Oreochromis niloticus: one gene and its partner. The protein of the gene in region 2 purifies or fractionates together with the protein of the main gene of each other region. This does not show direct contact. Links are inferred from orthologs where the notes say so. Each region holds a gene or a part of one and is shown on either strand. Other genes may lie near its edges.

What was found. The genes of interacting proteins can lie anywhere in the genome.
Region 1: the proteins of trpc1 (region 2) and cav1 purify together in Homo sapiens (affinity purification with western blotting; 3 studies listed by BioGRID and IntAct, with this or other methods). This does not show direct contact. The link is inferred for Oreochromis niloticus from reciprocal best matches to the Homo sapiens genes TRPC1 and CAV1.

The regions. Positions count from the first base shown.
Region 1 is NC_031972.2:41,354,029-41,361,310, reverse strand, and holds the start of cav1 (caveolin-1), read left to right. Parts: upstream 1-4,267; 5' UTR 4,268-4,557; coding exon 4,558-4,593; intron 4,594-5,563; coding exon 5,564-5,731; intron 5,732-7,282. UniProt on the Homo sapiens protein: May act as a scaffolding protein within caveolar membranes. Forms a stable heterooligomeric complex with CAV2 that targets to lipid rafts and drives caveolae formation. Mediates the recruitment of CAVIN proteins (CAVIN1/2/3/4) to the caveolae.
Region 2 is NC_031974.2:17,252,301-17,259,925, reverse strand, and holds the start of trpc1 (short transient receptor potential channel 1), read left to right. Parts: upstream 1-4,615; 5' UTR 4,616-5,372; coding exon 5,373-5,538; intron 5,539-6,356; coding exon 6,357-6,511; intron 6,512-6,597; coding exon 6,598-6,699; intron 6,700-6,817; coding exon 6,818-7,020; intron 7,021-7,625. Other genes in the region: chst2b (carbohydrate sulfotransferase 2), read right to left, coding at 178-1,575. UniProt on the Homo sapiens protein: Forms a receptor-activated non-selective calcium permeant cation channel. Forms a heteromeric ion channel with TRPC4 or TRPC5 that has reduced calcium permeability compared to the homomeric TRPC4 or TRPC5 channel.

The sequences.
Region 1 (7,282 bases), on a different chromosome or scaffold from region 2:
CTGCTGAACCTTTAAATCAAAAATCTGAACGCTGTATGATGCAATGCTTTGTTTCAATGCATTTTGTTGGCTTTGTGTTCAGCTCTTGGATAACCTTTAGAGTAGAGTTGTACAACTGAAAGTGGAAGACAGTTGTGTGCAGCAGTAGCATTAAACCACCACGTTTCATCTGGGCTTTTTATTCTAGCGCAGGCTTTATATTCATTAAAGACAAAAAGGTTATAATACTGTAAGATATTCACTTGTCACTAAAGTAAAACTACTTTTAACAGTAATCATGCTACTTTTATGAGTTTGACTTTAATTTTTCTGGTTACTGTTTTACACAATATTGACACATTTTGGAATGAAACTCTTATTTTAACAATAAATATGTCCTTCATGACGAAAATAAAGGTCTTTTTTCCTTAAGGTAATTCTTCTGTGTGTGGTTTCTTCTTTCTGTCACAGAAGATGAGTGTGGCTGGGATGTGCAGGTGAGTGCCAAAATGGTCTCATAAATCACTTTGCTGAGATTTCATAACACACTTTCCTATACAAAGATGAGCTGTGCGTTGATGGAACATGACCTGAGGCGTTGGCTGTTAGACTTGCACGCCTGCATGGCATTAACATTCATAATGCTATGCAGAAGTTTTTTGTTTGTTTGTTTTTTTATGAAGAGTATTCTCTTATCCAGACATTCATGATGTTCCCCTTTGACCAAATGAAGAGACTCGAACACAGTTCTCTCTTAAACTCTGTCCATCTACAGCTGAGTTTTTAAATTAAATATTTTGAGGTGCAAGTTGATCTGTTGTGTCTGGCATTTCTCTTTTTGTCTGGTAAATTCCTTCAGCTAGCCAATCACAGCCCAGCCTGAAACAGAACGCTGTATTATTGTGTAATTACAAGGAAATAAAAGGAACGTGCACTGAAATTGTTTTCTGGTGTGTTTCAGCAACCAGTGCCTAAAACAAGCCAAAGAGGTTCTTCACTTTGACCTTTTGACCTCCAACTCTTGTTCTTGGTGGATTAAATCAACCCAGAACATAAGCAGCGTAAAGATAGATAAGCACTGATGCTCATATTCACAACTACAACCACTTATTGTATTCGTTTGGACTGTGGAAGGAAGCCAGAGCACCTAGAAGAAGATCCATAGGGACATGGAGTTGAACATGCATACTGCACACAGAAAAGCCCCATCTGGCTGTTGGATTTGAACCCAGGACCTTCGTGCTCTGAGGTAATGGTGCTAAGCACCACACCACTGTTGCTGCCCTATGCGTATGATGCAATGTAAAAATGTCATTTCATATATGTTTGAAAAAGCAATAATTAAAAAAATGATCCTGCATTGACCTGATGCCCTTATGGCTATTTTTATTCTCCTATCACAGTTAACCCCGTTCTGATACTCAAGAATTTCTATTACTATTGTTTCCATCAAATTTTGCGCAAATGCAAATTATAGTAAGTTTGCTTGTGATTTCTTAGCAATCGACACTAATGAGTAATGAACCCAGTTGCTGTTCCATATCCTCATGACTTTTACCTCTGGCTCTGGTACCTGATGAGTTGTTTGAGATTCTGTCCTCTCAGTGTTCTGAGTGGCAATTAAGTGTTTTTAATATTCTTCGTATCATCTGAAATTTGCCACAGTTCACAATGTTTTTTGCACCTCAGCTTACATAAACAAAGTCATGCTAGCGCATAATGTGCAATCTCATTTGCACAAATGTTTCTTGTAAATTTGCTAATATTTTCCGCAGTGTTAGTAGCAGTTTGTGTAAGCTTCTCTTCCAGGCTTCAGCAAAGTAACATCTTTGTTTGAAGCAGGTGCTCATTTGGTTATTTTGATCTCACTTCGGTGCCACACCCAGTGAACTCAAGGAGGCTAACCAGGTGTTTATTCATAGAATAGCTTTCTAAAAAAAAAAAGCCAAAAAAAAGCATTAGAGTAGTTCAGAATAAATGAAAGCAAGAGGAAAAAACTGAAGTCTACAAAACCTTCATTGGTGCACTCTTTTATCTTAACATTATGCGCCAAAAAAGCATTAGTGCTTCAAGTTTTTAAAGATAATTTTATTTGGTGTCTTGTGTGACTTTATACATCTGCACTTGACTATAGTTGTATTAAACTGGAACCAACACAGTCTTGTATCCCTACATGTTCAAATGTGTCCACTTGAACTCATTTCCACTTGAATTTATTTAAGAATTTTATACACCTGCTTATTGAAATTTTGAGTAAAACAATCAAATTGTCCCTGGTGAGTTTGGTCTAAGGTATTTATTCATTACCATACAGATTTGAGCATTTATGCATTACTTTTAGCCTTTTCAACAATTTAGACTTATGCTTATACTATTTAACTTCTAAATGCAGTTTAAACATTACTGAAATATTTTCTGCTTACAATATATATTTGTCATGGTTCTGGGTCTGTGACCCAGCTTTCTGAGTTTTGCCGTGTTTTGAGTTTTCTGTGAGCTCGTTTTGTTTTGGATTTTGAGATACAGTTTATGTTCTAGCTCTGCATCTAGTCCTTTCAGCATAATGTTTCCTTGTGCTTCTTAGTTTCCCTTTGTTTCCAGTCTGTGTTTCTCATAAGATTATGTCATCTTTTGTTATCATCTTTTGTGTTCCCTTTCTCCTCAGTCAGTCATGTCTCTGCATTTATCTCCTGCCGCTGTGTGAAGTTCACGTGTGTTGGTCTCAGTGTTTGTTGCTTCCTGTTTTATTCTGATAGTCACTCATCTCCTCTAGGTTGTGTTATTTTTGCTTCCCATTGTCTCCTTAGATTCCATTCAGCTGTGTTCCCTGGTGTTTCCTATCTCCATAATTACCTGGTGTGTATGTTGCCTGACTTTCCCTTTGTCTTCTGCCAAACTGTGTGTTTCTTCCTCCTGTGTCTCAAAGTTAGGTTTCTCTCTTTGTTCATTCTTCGTGTTACGATTCTTAGCAATAAAGCTGCTTTTGAGTTTTACATCTGGCTTTCTGAGTCCTGTGTTTGTGTCCAACCCTGCCTGCCACACAGCAATATTTTCTCCGCTATTATGTTCAACTAATAATTTTTCAGTAATGGTTAGGTCTTGTAATAATTCATCAATAGCTTTTGGCCTATAGTTTAATCATTCATCACTTTATCTGCTTCTACTGTGTGGAGATACTATTAGTTATTACTGTTATTAATAGAATTGTTTAATTACGAGAAAATATTCATCCAGTTTTCCCAATTACTCATCAGCTTTAATCATTTCTGCCTCCCTTGTTTATAAATAACTTTCAATGAATTAAAAATGGTTTTAATTTTTATTAATTTGTATTATTTTCTTTCTTACTCCTTAAGTTCATTCGTGTTGCTATCACAAACAAATGCTCACCATTTTTGTTTGTAATAGTTTATTTGCACTACAATCATCAATAAACAATTGAAATTAAGTTCCTGGAGATAGAGTAGATAAAGGCTGACTTGTTTGTCCCAATTCAACAAAAGTTTGGCTATGACAGCGTCAACTTCTGGGTTTTCTCATAAAGTCCTACAGTATAACTGATCCAGTGTCATAGCAAAGTATTGAAATTAAATTACAGAATAATTACAGAATAAAGATAGTAAATGAATAGCCCAGAGTTAATAAGAAATAAGGTGCTTCTCAAAATAAACAGCAAAGAGGAGTTCCTCTTCCGTTAACTGAGATAAGCTTTCACACTGAGGAAGGCAAGAGCTGACATCTCTGTGCATGTCGCTCTAAACCTAAAAGCAAATGAGAGCTTTGAAAAATGTGAAAACAACTTCATCATCGTGCCAACCCGTTTCTTTTATTGACACGCCAATCAGACGCACCTAAAATGTGTTTCTCTCGCAGTCCCTCTGGCTGAAAACAGCAGGGTGCCAGCTGGCGTCTCTCCACGATGAGCTGACACAAGAATGTAAACAGACCAGAGTGGCCAGCACGACTTCACAACCTGATGAAGCTGACACCTTGAAAAACTGGGTTCACTAACCAAAATATAAATGTGATCTTATGAAGCAGCTGATGACAGGCGTGATTTTAGATGTGCTGAAATAGCTGAACTATATATTTCTTTCTTCCCTCTATCCATTATAACCGCTTGGATTTTTTCCCCCGTAGGCTAAGGTATGGCAAGTGTCCACACCTTGCCAGGTTCAATTAACTCCCACGTTTCACTGAACAAAACACTTATTATACTCTGCTGTGATCCCTAAATAAGAAATTCCATGCCGGCTACAAACACCCTTTCAGTCTGAGATCACGTCAGTCTCTCCTCCAGCCGAGCAGGTTCCAGGGTGGCTCTCCTGTCTGCTCACTGGTGACTACCCAGCTGCGCTCTGCGGTATCCGAGGAAACACTGGAGGTTTCCCCGTACGCGCTTGTGCATTGAATTTTAGTCACGTCCAACAAAAAGGGCAGGAATAACTTCACTATACAGGACTCTGAGAGAAAAGACCCCGTCCTCCCAGTTTGCATCCACGCCTCCCTCTCTGCTTCCTATATTATCTTTTTTTTTGTCTGTTTCAACGTGCTAATCTCTCCAAACGTGAGGACAGCATGACAGGAGGACTGAAGGACGGCGAGACAGAAGAGGTACAGTATAGCTCTCAGCTATAGTTCTTTTAATTTTTGGTTGTTTGTTTGTAGCTGACATTTACTTTTCTTCCAGGAGCTGATTACCCCCCCTCAAAAAAAAAAAAAAAAAAAAAAAAAAAAAAAAAATGCGTTCACGAGGGAAAAATGAATGCGCTATGTTTCAGTCCTTATCTTGCGCTCTGGCACCCAGTCATGAGCACTTCTCCCACACAGGCTAAGAGAATGACAAGGTCGATGCAGTTTACATTAGAATGTGGGTGTGAGGATTTTACCTGCTAAGTCCTCTTTCAGCACAGTAACCGATTATTTACGCACAAACATTTAAAGTGTACATTTCAATGCGTTTAAAAAAGGAGGAAACAAATCCAGTTTTTACCGTAAAATTCTGAATTTCAGTCACAAATCTTCCCTGTCCTTTAATACCAACTGAGATCGTGTGGTGTGCGTAATAATATAAGGTGCTTGCCTCGTAGGATTGAGGAGGATCATAAGCGCTAAAGGGGTCTTTACGTATTTTTAAAGGATAAAAACACAAGTCCAGTAAGTTATTGCATACTTAATGTGAACATATTACAAATGACATTGCAAATATAACTGAATTCGTGATTTTTCTTTTACTTTCTAAATATATATTTTTGGTGTAGGAAGAGTATTAATTGGAAATTCTTTCATATTTAAAAATAACGCCTTTGCACCTTTCTTAAAAGTGTTTCATTGTCATGGGTAGACTACACGTTGAATCAACTGTATGTCATGTTAACATACTGGATTAGTGTCTGGGTGGTGAGGACCCCTTGCGGCTGGATGAAGGGGTGTGGTACTTTACTTTCTATTCACTTAAACCCATCCCTGTTTGTGGGGAAGCCTGGTAACTTGCAGCTCCAGTCGCTCTCTCTCTCAGCGCGCTACACACTATTCCTTCTCCTCTTCACCCTCTTCTCCTTCTGTCTCCCCCGGATCCTTGCAGGAGTTTCTGCATTCGCCGTTTATCCGAAAACAAGGGAACATATATAAACCCAACAACAAAGACATGGACAACGACAGTCTCAACGAGAAAACGATGGAGGATGTCCACACCAAAGAGATCGACCTGGTCAACCGGGATCCCAAACACATAAACGACGACGTTGTTAAGGTGAGTTAAACCTCAAAATTGGTAACTTGTGAGATTCATGTTTTTTCGTCCATGGCAACCGAAACCACCTGTTGCCGAGTTTACACAGGGCTTAGCTGTATGACAGGCGCTGTAAACTGAAATAATCTCTGATAAACGATGTCCATTTTATTTCTATGAGCTGTCAAACAGGTTATCTGCGCGTCGGACACGCATGCAGTTCTTTTGCGCACCTTTGCTATGCTCCGTGCAAGTGTTACCACTCAGTGTCTTCCCCTATTAGGAAGAAGCTTTGCAAACGTATTAAAGATCATTGAGCGGCGGCGATACAATGGCATGCAGTGCCCTTCTGCACATTTGTTTGTGGAGTGGGTTTGAAACGTGAACGTCCCAACTTCGCTCCAACAGAGGAAACATAACCAATTTCCTGTTGTTGGAACACACATTTCCCACAGTCCTCCCTGCACACGCCTGTCTAATGGGAAAGTAGAATTCTGTACATAACAGAGAAGCCTGGTCGGATAAATACTCAGTATTTATTTTTGTTAAAAGGATTTAGCACAGGGAGAGATGTTATAGCGGCAAAGGAGTGGTGCGCTGCAAGCCACCTGACTCATCTGTGTGGGAGAGAGGAGCTGCAGCCGTGTGCGCCCGGCGGTGCTCCTCTCCAGCTGGTGCATCTGGTTACATCAGAGTGGGGTCAAGCAGCTCCCTGCGTGTTCAGGAAGGGTCAGATCTTTGAAATGCCTGAACTCTGCTTTGTTAAAACAGGGAAACACCCAAGTGGGCGATTAGTCTGAGGGGATCCCTCACCACTCCTTATCCTCCCTTCTTTCCTCCCATTCTGCCACTGCCCCCTCCGTTTCCTCCCCGCATGCCTGTAGTTGCGTCAGAGAAGTGAGTCCATTTGTTTCTTTTTCTTGGCGAATACAAGGTTTTCAGTAGAAATGAGTGCCCATCGCTGCTGAATTAACTAATCAGACCATAACTACTGAACATAACCTTTCTCTTTAAAAAAATACATACATGTGGTAAAGTTTCATCCCCTGCCAAATTGACTGATGAAAACATACTGACAGAGCATTTTGATTAAAACAACTATAATGCACATATACAAGGAATGCATTAAAAATGTTGTGCTCATTTAATTTTCTGTTATTACATGACACTCATTTCACATACAACCTGCCCAAAAAAGTACATTTTGTCTTCCATTTCTCGTTAAATATTTGAAAACACTTCGTTTTTATGGAATTTATCACTGTCTGAGAGGCATGTGTGTCACTGCCAGTTTGTGCATTTTTCCCATATGACGCACAAGTCTACATAAAATGTGCTATGAACATGATGAATTTCCATTTTTGTACGAGAAAGGAAGCTTTTTCAAAATATTTGTTGCTGGGTTTGGAAAGAAAAAGTCTCTTATTCTCTAGTTTTTCTGGTTGCTGCTTCTATCCCAACGTCTTCCACCACTCTCTGGCTGCTCTCTCCCTGCTCTCCTCCATTGTGACAGTGAGTCAGACTCTCCTTCCAGTCTCAGAATAGAATGCAGCTTCACGATTGTCCCACCCC
Region 2 (7,625 bases):
AGAAGTGGTCCCTTTGAACGGAGCTGCAACCGCTCGACTGACGGTACATTCCAAATGCGGCCGATGTAGATCCAGGAACATTGATTCAAAGTAAAGCTTTAATTCCACAATATAAGGAAACAGCACTGTATGCAAAATGAACATTAAATTAAATGGTCTTTGGTGGTGAGGATGTTTTCACAGTCTGGAGTGTGTCAGTAGTGATTTGCTCAAGTCCTTGGCCTCCCCGGCTGTTCTCACTCTCTCGTAACCTAGAACTGACATGGAGTGGTGGCAGTAGTCTTCCACTTGTTTGATCTGTTGGATGCTGAGCACTGTTCTCCATGCACTTGCAGCTTGTGTGGCATTCCTGGAGGAGACTATAAATGGCTTAGATGAGGAACTGGAGCCACTGGTCATGTTCAAAGCAAACATCTCAATGTCATGGTTGGTAGTGAGGTTGGCAAAGCGGTAGACGCTCCTCAGGGTCTTAACTGGGTTTTCGACCAGGTCTTCGTAACGTACAGCCATGTACTTCCCCTTCAGCCAGCTGGGTGGGTTTATGGCAGTCCTCAAAGTCCTGGAAGTGCGGTCGCAGATCACCTCCATGGCTCCAATGGAGTGGTAGTCTGAGCCATCCTTCTTGTTAGCTTTGTGCCCAGGGTCCACGAAAGGTATCCGCCGGAGTTTGGGGTCTCTGCTGCGGACCACCTGTAAATTTTCCCTTATCAGACCGTGTCTGGATTTGATCCTGGAGTTGGCTACTGCCCGTGGGTCTCTGACTAAGTGTATCACCTTCAAATCCAAGGACGGATCCTCCATAAGCGGGGCCAGCACATTTACATCCAATATGCGGACCCCTTTAATGACTATGGTGCTATATTTCAGGCACTCTTCCTCTAACAATCTAAGGCTTTGAGGGGGACACTTTTTACACACCTTATCATCCACCATCCCCACCACCTCCTTCCTGTAGGCTGAGCAGAGGGGATATGAGCACACCACTTTATTGAGGGTGGCCCCAAACAGTCCGAGGGAGGTGAAATTCTTACCTCCCGGGCTGTTGTAAAGTTGGAAAACAGACAGATCACAGCGGTATAAGGAGCTAAGCATGTCCCTGGCCGCCCCTTGCAACGACACGGCATCACCGGGGTACAGTTTCTGCCAGATGTGCCACATTGGCTCATACAAGAAGAACACGTCTGGATTTTGATTAAACAGCTCCCCAAAAAAGGAAGAGCCTGACCTCCAGGTGGTCAGCACATAGATAAGCTGCCTCTTCTTAGCCAGAGAGGGCCTGTACAGGAAGCGAATGTCAGATCTGCTCTGATAAGTGGTGCTCCTCATCTGATGATTACACTGCTGCGGCTCCTTAGTCCATTTATAATTAGCCAAGTTAAGCATAGTAAGCACGAGCAGTAACAAATAGGCCATAAACAACACAATCCTCTTTCTGCGTAGCACTTTCATCACGATCCCAGGCTGTGCTATTATCTTGGTATGATTCCTGTATGTTTTAAGCTTCCTTCCAAAGCCTGCATCCTTCTCCCAAGGCGCTGTCAACTTTAGTGGTTGATGATATTGTTTGCCTCTCATCTGTAACCTCGGAGAGTGGCTCTCACCGCTGGACGAAGCTCCTTACATTGACTGTGCACCAACACGCTCGGTAGTGTGTTTATGGGCTGCACCGGGAATTAACAACCAGATGAATTAGGTAATGTATTCGGCACCAGTTCGACAGCCACGAAACGATATAGCCTTTTCACTGCACTGCGCAATGTTCGTCATAGAAATGGTAGAAGAGGGGAGCGTTAAAGTTGTCCATATCAGGCGTTGCAGTGATTCTGTGTTTGGCCCGCGTTCAAAACAAAAACCAAGAAGCCTTCAGCATTGTAACAGACGCCCAGTTTGGGCACGTTCAGCGGAAGCATCCTCGCGCAATTACCAGCTGAAACATCCTCAGAAATGCGGTGGATTCGGGCGTCGGTCACGATTCCGTGCGACGGGCCGGATCCTCAAAATTACTCCGCAGCTGCCATGATGGAGCAGAGAAACGCTTTTATTCGCAGTTAGGGCTCTTACACGTTTCTCCGTCTCGTTCTTCTGCTCGTCCAACTAATACAAACTGGGCCGATTCAATCTGAATAGCAGGACCAAGACCCGCCCTCCGAGAGAGCGCATTGGAGCGAGACGAGCCGACGCTCGTCAGCCAGCTTACGTCATTGGACCTACTGCGAGCCCGTCACGTTAATGGACGCTCCGACAGATCACAGCAACGGTAGATGAGGAGGGCATGGGGGATGGATGGTGGCGGTGCTGTTGTTATGTTTAGGTGAAGTCCACCTCACATTGTCTGAACCGTGCTCCGGCCTCTTGTCTCTACCCACTGAAAGCGATTGGCGGGTTTTCTGTTTTGTTTTTTTGTTCCCTTTTTTCGATATACAACCTATTTTTAGTATTTCTTTTTTTTTTTAAAAGTCTTAAGGCCGTGGTTTTATTCCAAAGCCAGTCTTTACTTTTCCTTTTACCCACGTCCTCCTCATCGTGTGTGACTGCAGGAGAGAATCAATATTTCAAATTAAATGTATTAGCCCCCCCCCCCACTCACTACAGCCACAAGAGGGTAGCCCGGGGTTTGTCTTAAAAGCAGCAAAGAAAAACCCTGTTTCATTACAAAAGAGCTATGCACATACCGCTGAATTATTTATCTAATAAGATGAAATCTAATTTTTAAAAAATAGAAACACTTGAATTTTAAACTGATCTGAGAGTGATGGACTACAGTATGATTGTAGAGGATGTAATAATTTTTCATTGGACGTGATAGAAACACTCAGCGGCAGTGACAAGCACTCCTCTCAAGTGGAATCAGCTGAAATGGGACATTTGACAGCTGTTCCCCGGGAACTGGAAAGGCCATGTGGTTGTATGAAGGGAAACACATGCTCTGCAGATTGAAAATCATCTTTCCTAAGACGCTTGCCTGTGCGGCATTACAACCTTGAACAAGCGGGGTGGGGAGAGCATAGACTGAATGAATTGAAACCGCTCGAGTCCCTTGACCCTCCCCAGCGAGGAGCCTCTAAATATGTAGGGTAATATCCCCGTTGTGATTTTACTATACTGTTTCTCATCAAGCCCTGCTCAAGTGCTGTGCATGGAGTGAGTCCTTCTGAAGAGCGACATATTAGGCTTTGTGTTGACTATACAGTATTTCCTTCCTGTTCTCGGTAACGTGTGCTTTCAATATATCTTCATTTTTATTTTCTCATCCAATGCGGGTGTCTACAGCGAAATACCTTTGTGCAGACTGCCCTCTGCTGGAGCATTGAGGTCCCACCCTTAAAAAGGATCTACTTAACAGCAGACTTCCACATCATGAACAAATATATTAATCATACATATGACATACTAATTTATATTCGTTTTTCAGTGTGCAAGCATATAGATAAAAATATAAGTGTATGGTGTTAATGGAGCTTGGTTTAAGAAAAATCGTTTAATCTTATTCTTTTATAAGGAAGCTTGTTTTTAATATGAAACCTTTCCTACTGTGCAACCGCTTCATTCCACCTGCATTTTACAGATGTTTATAAAACTTCATACAACAAAAGCCATATTAGGATTCGGTGCCGTTGGAAAGCAAAGAGCCCTTCATTGAATGTGTTTTTCTTGTATCAAGTCAAACAGTGAACTCAAAAACACAGCAGAGAATACTGAAAGTGCACGTTTCCCTCCACGCCCTATTTTCAACATGTATTCACACAGTGACAGAAACCCGCCCAGGAAATTACTTCTGTTTCAGTGCATGGTATTTGTTCTGTTTGGCAGTGCAAGTGCTGAGCGTGGTGAGTAAAGTAATATATTTGGCTTACATCATCAGAAATGTGTGTGGTGATGATTTGCAAGCCAATATTCAATATTCACACATTTCTTATTTTTTTAAAAGAAAGAAACAAAGACCTTTCTACATTTTAGAAGCCAACTGTGTTACATTTATAGAAAAACCAAAGGTCGTCTTTAATGACATCTGATTTCAAATGTAATAATAATAATAATCTTGGTCTTTACTCGGCCTGCATAAGAGAGCTGAGCATTAATTATCAATGCTTTATCACTAAGCACGCTGACTCACTGTCACTTCATTATGGCTTATTGAGTTGGATGTGAAGGCTTGTTACATTTTGTGCTTTCTTTTGATTTCACTTCTTCATTGCTTTTCTGTAGTGAATGAACTGAATGAAGTACATGTGCCCTAAAACTGTATTCCAGTCCATATTAAACCCTTTCTTTCAGTGGTTACAGCATTTCTTAGCAATATTCTTTGCAGGTTGTTAAAAGTGGGTGGATTGATTCCAAAAGCAAAAGTCTCGAAAACAATGATAGTATCAGATACTAGTGCAATATGACTGATACTTTGTTTCTCTCTGTTAAGTGCAATATAGCCCACTCATTGTGTAAAATACTTTTTTGGAAATAAAACGTATATCCAAGAGATCCACTATGAAAAATGTTTTTTTGTTATCACTGTTTACTTCATCTATAGGCTATAGAACATTTAAACAACAGAAGCTGACATAAGGTGCTTTAAACACAGACACGTTTACATTTCAGCATAATTATAAAGAGATTTCACTGAATCAGGATACCAGATGTATTTCCTAAGAGTCTGTCACGGATTATGTGAGGCCATATGCCGCCATATCCATATCCATGTGCACTAAATGTCACCCATGCATGTCCCAACACAGCATTTCCATCAGGACTTCCACATTACTGCAGGAAGTGACCTGAGCAGGAGCCACAACCATTGCTGATTTCTGTCTTTATCTCCCAGTCTTTAGCGCTTAACGTGCTGTGTGTGTGCAGTTTACGTGCATGCTTCAGAGTCAGCACATGTGCATGCACTGTCACAGTGAACGCTCACACGCTGTGAATCTACACAGTGTACTGTACACGGCAAAGATGCACTGTTACGTAATCACGGAGAAGAGGCTTTGCGCCTGCGAAACGATCAAGCAGGTGGAGGAGGAAACATGCGCAGTGCACGCCTCGCCAGCAGCATCAGGACCACTGCGATGCGAGTGAGAAGATGGTGCTTGTAAACACGCCGCGAGAAATGACCGCGTTGTTTCGTCTACTTGCCGTCGCCGTGAACACTTTTTAACCCCACGTTTGAGATCGATGGTGCGAAAAGGGCTACAGGAGGCGATATTTTAACCCCCAAAAAGGGAAAAGCGCACGCACCGGAGCTGGGACGGTAATGCCAGCGATTACTGACACTGGTTTAAGTCGGCCGCTTTAAACCTCTGCTGCGCAACTACAGAAGCATTCCTCACATGTCATCGCATATGACGGGATTTCTCGTGTAATGGTCGTCGGTTTCTAGTGGGATGCACATCAGCGTCTTGCCGTACTCGCTCTCCGTCGTAATGGCAGCTCTGTACCATGGCACGGACGCTTCCTCTCCGGACAAATTCCTGGCCTTGAAAGACGTGAGAGAAGTGAAAGAGGAGACGACTCTGGACGAGAAGCTCTTCCTGCTGGCATGCGAGAAAGGTTTGGCTCTTGTTTCGTCTAATTTAATATCTGGGCTGTTGTTCCCTGTTTGCAATGCAATGGGATGTCCGTGCAACACGTGACTACGATCTGAGGGAAGCTCGTTATTGTGATCATTAGGGATGCTGAAGCTACATGTCTGATATAGGAGGTAGAGCGCACACGGAGTGACAGCATGGCAGATGTCATACAGGCTCATTTAGCAGCTGGCAAACTACTCAATCATTACAGATCCCCCCACTCCAGTGTATACCACTCACAGCTGCCCACACTTTGGATACTGTGGAAATTTACCCAAGGGGCAGTTAATAGTTAAATGTCTGCTCCACTTTAAGTTTCGCTCCCTGGTCTCCTGACGTTTCACAAACCCCAACATGGAAAGTTCATGCAAACAAGCTAAATGCCAGCAAGGCAAGACGTGGACAGTGTAAGTGTAAAATAACAAAGAGGCATGGGTTTTCTCAACTGGTCACCGTGGCGGGAGAATATTTCATTGATAAGTTGAGAACATTGTACAGGCAGAGGTGTGCTAAGCCAATAACTGCCACTGTGACCATATAAAGTCTCCCTAAACGTGGCCCAGCAACAGAAATTGTCCTTTGAGGGAGATGTTATTGTTACACAAGATTAAGGGTTGCCGCTGGAGCCGAGCCTGTTCTCTGAGAGAGCTCGCCTGATAACCGGCGCTGTGTGTTTGTGTCGTTTTGGCACCGCGCTTAGACTAATGCTTCGCTTCTTCAAAGGATCCGCCTTTGTGAGAACTTGCCAAGGTGGATCACATTTATGATGTGCTGCTTTGTCATTGACTTGCTTCTCAGGTGACTACTACATGGTGAAGAAACTGCTGGAGGAGAACAGACACGGCGAGCTCAACATCAACTGTGTGGACGTGCTGGGCCGAGATGCAGTGACCATCGCCATCGAGAATGAGAATCTGGACATCCTTCAGCTGCTCTTGGAGTATGGCTGCCAGGTAACGAGAAAGCACAGACTTGGGGCAAAATAATATACACAAGACATCATTTACATCACTAAAATCGTGCATTTCTTTCTGTGTAGGCAACAGATGCTTTGCTGGTGGCCATAGACTCAGAGGTGGTAGGAGCTGTGGACATTCTCCTTAACCACAGGCCAAGGAGATCTTCTAAGCCCTCTATTGCTGTAAGTCTGCTCTTATTACTCTTTTTCAAGAAAACAAACACCATTAAGGCAAAAACTTGCTTATCTATAATTCCCCTACAGTATTTTAGATTTTTTTTTTAATCCATGCTCTTGTCAGAAACTGATGCAGCGCATCCAGAATCCAGAGTATTCCACCACCATGGATGTGGCTCCAGTCATCCTGGCAGCCCACAGGAACAACTACGAGATCCTGACCATGCTGCTCAAGCAGGACATCTCTCTCCCCCGGCCTCACGCTGTTGGCTGTGAGTGCACGCTCTGCAATGTTAAAAACAAGAAGGACAGCTTACGACACTCCAGGTACAGTTACCCAGAGCTCACAAAATACTTAAGTAGCATTGACTTTGTGCAGACGAGTGCATTAAGAGCCCCAGAGGACTATTTTTTTGGTCAATTACTTTAAATTGGAATAGTCGATACTACTTCTGTTTTGTAGGTGATGTTTTGATTGTTTTGACCCAACAAATCAACCCAGTTTTGCTCCAAGTAAAGTGGCTTTTGTGAAACATTGCAGCCTCTTGTTTCACTGACAGCATCAGGTTGAAAATCCAGTCTGCTACTCCTAGAAGTCGATGATTTAGTCAATGATATGACACACTGGGTTTTAGGAATGCTTTAGCCATTTTTTACAGTCCTATGAATGCCCAAAATATCCTCTTTGTCCCCGAGAGGACTCCAGATTTTCTCTGTTATTGTCAAGCTCGACTGATCTAGCTGTAGGGAGTCAGTATTGGTATTTTACTGAAATACAAAATCAATACAAACTCTAATTTAAGGGAAAACAGCAAAACAGCAGCAGTTCCTCTGGGAAGAAGGAGTTCTTGGTTTCTGATACCTTCTCGGACTTGCAGATGAGATTTTGCTGATCTCTTCCGCAGGGGCCTTTTTTTTCTCTGTGCAGGGCA